Bombyx mori: one gene and its partner. The protein of the gene in region 1 purifies or fractionates together with the protein of each later gene. This does not show direct contact. Links are inferred from orthologs where the notes say so. Each region holds a gene or a part of one and is shown on either strand. Other genes may lie near its edges.

Evidence for each region.
Region 2: the proteins of RpP1 (region 1) and RpP0 fractionate together in Homo sapiens (co-fractionation; 5 studies listed by BioGRID and IntAct, with this or other methods). This does not show direct contact. The link is inferred for Bombyx mori from reciprocal best matches to the Homo sapiens genes RPLP1 and RPLP0.

The regions. Positions count from the first base shown.
Region 1 is NC_085121.1:13,787,245-13,790,133, reverse strand, and holds RpP1 (ribosomal protein P1), read right to left. Parts: upstream 1,740-2,889; 5' UTR 1,590-1,739; coding exon 1,518-1,589; intron 1,239-1,517; coding exon 903-1,238; 3' UTR 609-902; coding exon of another isoform or gene 595-608; 3' UTR 501-594; downstream 1-500. Other genes in the region: mRpS14 (mitochondrial 28S ribosomal protein S14), read left to right, coding at 176-278. UniProt on the Homo sapiens protein: Plays an important role in the elongation step of protein synthesis.
Region 2 is NC_085121.1:15,549,623-15,553,920, reverse strand, and holds the start of RpP0 (ribosomal protein P0), read left to right. Parts: upstream 1-1,498; 5' UTR 1,499-1,589; intron 1,590-1,759; 5' UTR 1,760-1,800; coding exon 1,801-1,854; intron 1,855-1,965; coding exon 1,966-2,202; intron 2,203-2,574; coding exon 2,575-2,731; intron 2,732-3,533; coding exon 3,534-3,658; intron 3,659-4,298.

The DNA of each region.
Region 1 (2,889 bases):
TGAAGGGTGGGACAGCCATTGTAACTATACTGAGACCTTAGAACTTATATCTCAAACTGGGTGTTGCATTCACATTGTAGATGTCTATGGGCTCCAGTAACCACTTAACACCAGATGGCCTGTGAGCTCGTCCACCAATCTGAGCAATAAAAGTTTAATATGAAATTGATTTCAGACCCAGAGGTATAGTAAAGGAATGGCGCATGAGTCGTATAGTCTGGAGGCATCTAGCGGATTACAACAAACTCTCAGGAGTACAGAGGGCTATGTGGGGCTGAAAATCTAATTTATTCTATGATAGTAGTAATGTTATTAAATTAAATATTAAATGAAATTTCTTTATTTCTTACAAATATCTCTACAGTTCAATCACCTATATATTGGCTAATCTGGTTATGCTAATTTCACTAAATGTGTAGGCAAGCTCATAGGCAACACTAGTCCTACACTGCTATTCATGTAAACGTATGCCATTATAGAAAAAGGGAAAAAGACAATGGTTTTATTTAACTTATTTTAATAAAGTCAGTTTCTTATAACATAAAAGCTTTACAATAGACAAAATGGAATATTTTTATTTCTTCATAAAGCTTCTTAGTCAAAGAGACCTGAAACAGAAAATAACATTAAATTGATGAACATGTTAACTACAAATATTAAGACCTAAACAATTCTCCACATACTCAGTAAAAAATTTTCAATCAAAAGATTCAGTAGCTAATACATGATCAAACATCATTGAAGTTTACATATTATGATAAAATTTGTCTTTGTTATTAGAATAATCTTTCAACAAATCATTCTAATTAAGTACTCCTTTTATTTGTTTACTAGAAACTGTTATTCATTTTATAGACTTTTGTTTTAATAGATTAAAGATGTTTTACCCAGGAAAAAAAACTTTAAAAATAAAAATATAAATTACTACTTAAATCTGAACAAAAATAAACTTTGAATATCGCATGTATATGTATGGATTGCTTACCGAAGCCCATGTCATCGTCGGACTCCTCGGGTTCCTCCTCTTTCTTTTCTTCCTTCTTCTCCTCGGCCGGAGCGCCGGCTGCAGCAGCAGCGGCTGGCACTCCACCAGCGGCCGGAGCAGCACCCACTCCAGAGCCGATGTTGGTGATCAGGTCACGGACATTGATGCCTTCCAAGGCTTTGGCGAACAGACCTGGCCAATATGGCTCTACATCTACAGCCGCCGCTTTCAAGATGGTGGAAATTTTCTCACCCTATTTCAATAAAACTGTCATTAGATTCCAAAAACATAAAAATATTTACTTTAGAAAAAAAAACTACAAGTAAGTATACGAAAGATATGGCGCCAAATGAATAGTTAAGATTAATGGAAAATATACAGAATTTTTAACAAAATAGACGTTTACTATGCTAAACAAATGCTTGGTTGTTCTGATTTTGTAGCTATTTTGTGTGATGTTCGTGGATTTAGTCACACAAACATTCTTCAATAACCTTAAAATATTAAAATTACAAATATTAAGATTACTTACAGTTACGGCAACATCATCATCAACCAGGATGAGAGCAGAGTAAACACATGCTAATTCAGCTTTTGACACCATTTTTAGTTTTGAACGTGCAAGTTGCCGTAGGCCTTAGCTCAAGAGAGAACAAGCACGTTTGAGTTCTGACAACAAAGAGAAACAGGAAAGGAGGTTATGTTCGAATTAGCAGTTTTCTGAGCTGTCACTGTCACATTGTCAATGTCATAATTTCATTTTGTCAATGTCATTTTTTAAATACATACCTAATTTTTAATGACCAGGATTGTTCTTCTTTTTTTGGCTCCGACACGGTTATGCATGTGTCAAGTAATAAGATTTTTATAATTCGCCGTTTAAATTATTTACACTTTATGAATAATAAAAAACGAAGGAAAAGACATGTCAGACATTTAAATAACCAAGTTATCGGCATATTGTAATAAACTAACTGAATCTCCGACATACAGCCTGACACATTTAAACTTGAAGAAACACTAAATAGACAAAATAAAAAAAAACACACAACTTCACTCCTCGCGTTCCTGCCAAAAAGTCCAAGTTCTTTAATCATTAAAACTATTTATAAAACTTATGTATGTAGCAGTTAATAAAACTATTGGAATAACACAAAAAAAAAACGAATAGCATGCAATCAATCTCTTCCAGTTGTACCGTGTACACTTTATTCGGATTCTATGAAAGCTTTGTGTTGGGACAAAATATAGAGGGTCAGCGAATTTATGTAGGTTAAAAATTCATAGGCTTATATATCGTGTATCGAGTTTTTAAATACTTTATCTGCGTTATTTTGTCTAGTTTAAAATGATATTTGAAACCGTTATCATTTTACTAAAGTTAAAATAAATTTTATTCGCTTTTTAAGAACATTAACACACTTCTTAATATTTGATTTAGGCCCCTCGGTTTTTTATACGCATAAGATATACCTACCTAATAAAGTTTTAATGTATTTCAATCTAAATTGGACTGGTCTATAAGTTATATAGTTAGTTTAATATGATTTGTTCTTTCGATGTGGAATAGAATTTAGTCAAGATGAAAATAAATTATCTTTTATTGTCATTGTAAACTAACAGGCATGCGGCTCATCTGATGAATGGTTTCCCTGGCTCTAAGAAGTCAGCGATGCCAGGGGCACAGCCAAATCGCGTTCTGATCGCAACCACCGTTTTGGGCCATTGTTGGTAGATGAACCCATAATAAGGCCCAATTTTTTTTATGATTGAAAGATTACTGGTGGCCCGGAGGCCTTTCCACTTTCACTAGGACAGTTGGGCGAGCAAAGGCTCAGCCAGGAGGGGTGGGATTTGCTAACAGCTGCCCGAGCGCCCCCGAAGGAGACCTAGAAAATCAAGAG
Region 2 (4,298 bases), about 1.8 Mb from region 1:
ATGAAGAAGCAGTGCGTATTTTTTGTTTTAAAAATAGGTATACGCTTTCATGATATGAACAGTAGCATAATCGCATTGTCTGATACGATACGAGTAATCTATCTTATACTTTAAAGCACGACGATTTGCTACTAAGATTTAAATTTGTTTTTTATTTCACCGTCTTATGAGCTGCATGAAAATAATATAGGACAGAACACTACTTAAATGAATAATAGGACATTTTCAGAGCACTTTGACATCGATAAACACATTGAAACATGTACTTTTAGATAAACCACGAAAAACAATTTTTTTCCATACCTATACTGATAGTCTTGAGAGTTTGAGAGGCTGTATCAACGTTACCGAACGAGTAGGTGAGCTCACGGGGCTCAAACTTGGCGAAGTTGCTAACACTGACCGTAGCAAAAGCAGTGCCTCGCAGAATCCACCACCGGATCGAAAATGCGACCCAAGATCCGGCGAGAAACTCATTGAGGTGTGTCTGTGCGTTAATATACTCGCTGAGCTCTTCGTCGCAAGCGACGGGTTCGACGAGAACGATGACTGGTGCTTTAGGTACCTAAAAGCACCGTTAGTGGATCGGGAGGATCCGAAATGATCCTGTGACACAGGGTTAGTTTAATCGCCGAGCCCTTCTTCGCAAGCGACGGGTTCGACGAGAACGATGAATGGGAATAACAATCATCTACATCTCTCCACTAGATCATAAGGCCGATTACAGTGCTCCACCGACCGTCTGTGCGTACGTCAGTCGCGCTTGTCGTTTATATGAAAATTCATAAATCATTACAGTGCTGGACTGACCGTACGCACGCGCATGTTGTTACGCATTGCGTACGAGGACCGTCGGTCTAGCGCGTCCGCATGCGTGCCGTCAGTCGACCGACGCGCTATGGAAACAAATGAACGCGTTCTGTGTTGCACCGATGGGTGGACCGACCGTACGGATGTGTGTATCATCATCAAAAAAAGCATATTCGTATTGAACGTGGCCAAATATATCGACACCGAGCGCCTAATCACCGAAGTTCGTCTTCGTGAACCGCTCTGGGACAAAGGCCACGTGTTATATAAAGATCGTGATGGCAAGTTAAAGGCCTGGCAAGAAGTATGTGCTGATAATTCATCAAAACTTGATCGTCATTCTGAAATAATTTAAAAAACTTGAACGTTCCTTAAACGTTTTCGAAAATAATAAGCAGCAATTAAACTATTTACAAACGCTTCCCTTTTGCGTACCGACTATACCAATCCGGTCAGATTGTTGGTCAGGAGAGCACTGAATGAAGAAAACTGATGATCGGTTAATGCGTACCGTCAGGACGGAACATACGCACAGACGGTCGGTGGAGCACTGTAACCGGCCTAAGGAAAGATATCTAATCGAAGGAGATCGACTTAAATCGAAGATCGTAATCTAGGATCGATTTTCTGAAAGCTCAGTTCATTCATAGATAATACAGTTTGTTCAAATTTCAAATTGGTTACCCCTATTGTAAAGTAATGTAAAGCCTATTAAGTGTATAATCTATGGTAAAGCCATTTTGAATTTGTCCCGCACGGAAGTCGTGCGTTTTGTCTTGGTGAGTATCAAATTAAATCTGAACAAATATGTAAATTTAGATGATTAAATTCAAAATTAACCAGATAATATTCATTATTAAGAGTATTGTGTAAACCTAAAACAAATATTTTGTGATTAACGTAGTCAGGATCAAAACATACTTTTAAGTAAAACCTGTATCGTTTTCAGTCCTTAAATTTCATCGAAGTCCCTACGCCACACTATCCAGGATGGGTAGGGAGGACAAGGCTACTTGGAAGTCTAACTACTTCGTTAAGATCATCGTAAGTAAATTAATCACATCTAATAATGTCCACATAATATGGAACTGGAAACATGTTTATTGTCAGGTGAAATATACATTTTAATTAGAACATAACTCATTTTAACTACAGCAACTCTTGGACGAGTACCCAAAATGTTTCATCGTGGGTGCCGATAACGTGGGCTCGCAACAGATGCAGCAGATCCGTATCTCGCTACGTGGCTCCAGTATCGTGCTCATGGGAAAAAACACAATGATGCGCAAAGCCATCAAAGACCACCTGGACAACAATCCAGCCCTCGAGAAACTGTTGCCACACATCAAGGGCAACGTTGGCTTCGTGTTCACCCGCGGAGACCTCGTTGAGGTAATGTATTTCAATTAAATTATCTCTAGTGATTAATATAGCATTTCAATAAGTTATCAATAAGCAATTCCTTGAGGTAACAAGAGTTGTGTTCAATCAGGTCATCATTAGTGGTTAGTATAGCAATAAGCCATAGCTCCGCTGTTCCTGAGCTGAACATGAGCAACTGGACACTTGCCTCAGATAGCCTGTATGCCTGCTAAGGCTTATGGCGAAAAATACATCAAATTATATCATATCATAAAAGAGTATCTTATCAAAATGTATGTCATGAAAAATACCAGTTTTATTTAAAATGTTGCGTTTTAAACCTTGTTTCCTTCCAACTAGTGATTTCATTGGTTTTTAAGAAACCTATCATATTTTTATTAGGTCCGTGACAAACTGTTGGAGAACAAAGTCCAAGCTCCAGCTCGTCCTGGTGCCATTGCCCCATTGTCAGTCGTCATTCCCGCCCACAACACCGGCCTCGGTCCAGAGAAGACCTCTTTCTTCCAGGCTCTTTCTATCCCTACCAAGATTTCAAAGGGTAAGATTTTAATACTGTATCTACATATCTGCACTATCAGTAAACAAATTTTAGTATTAAAAAGTATACAAGCTAAAATTGAAACAATATAATATGCGGAAATACTTTTTGCAAGTTTTTCAGATCATGGGGGTTATTTGAGCGTTATAAAAGATGTGTTAATTTAATACTCTTGGGCAAATTTATATAAGGTTGATTACTCATTAAGGAAAAGTATTTTATCCACTAAATGGAATAATTAAATTTCATGTTTTTTTACTACCAATTACAAAACTATTGTATGGTAATGTTGGGATAAACTAAAAAAAAAACACTGTTGAATCAAAAAAAAAGGTTAATTCCATAATCCTATGGCACCTTAAGTTCTATTTACTTTTACATATTCAAATAAACCGAAGTAAAGACCAACAAACCTATAATAAAATTGAAATATTAACTATATAATATAATAATAGCATAGTTGCTTTTACACAACAGTATCATTGTCTGTTCTAAAACCAGTGAGCTTTTTCTATCTCTCTGGCTTCGCTTTCAGACTAAATGAAACTCTTACAACTTATCCTAGTATAATTGTTCCTAAAATGATAATTGTACTGGCATTTGTAAGAAACAAGTCTATTAAAAAAAGGAAATCTCTACTAAGAAAAACAGGATAACATTGCAAAGAAACCATAAAAGGGTTTTGCTGTGAATATTTCAAACTTACAACTCAGAGTTGTTATTGTTAAAAGCTTTGATTATGTCTAATTTATCTATATCTTTGAGTGTATCCAATAAAATTAAGGTTATTTTTATTTTTAAGGTACTATTGAAATCATCAACGATGTACACATCTTGAAGCCCGGTGACAAGGTTGGAGCTTCTGAAGCCACCCTTCTCAACATGTTGAACATCTCTCCATTCTCATATGGTCTTGTTGTTAAGCAGGTCATTATATTTTCATTTTATTTACACATAGCTTATTAATTATATTTGACATTATGAGCTATATTTATACAGGTATATTAATAAAGTAAGCTACAATTATAGGCATTAAATTGAAAATTATGAATACCCATAAACATACCTGATTATATTCAATGTTTTTCAGACACAGTAGTGTGTGCTTATCATTTAGTATACAGCTTTTGTCATGCCGATCTTTCAAAAAGAGTGGACCAGAAATAAATATGTATATGCACACTAGGCAAACCCATTAAACAGTTTTAAATTGTTTAATTTCTTTAAAATGTCTTTATTCAGTGCTAAAAAAATTATACATTTAAAGCAATAACACAAAAAAAATCTGACAGTACAATGTAAATCTTAATGCTTTCTTTTCTTTTTCGTTTGAACTTTCGTTTGATAAATTTACATAATTTAGCAAAAAGAATTACAGTGTAAATATATTTTTCCAGATCAATCCTTTGACACTTTTAATGTTGTAACCACTATTGGACCATTATTAAATAAAATAAATTGGAATTGTTTTGTTGTAATGGTCTATTAATAATATCAGGAATATGTACTTGAATAATCCAAAGTGTTGAGTACAGGATACGAGTATGTCTAAGTATTCTGATAATTT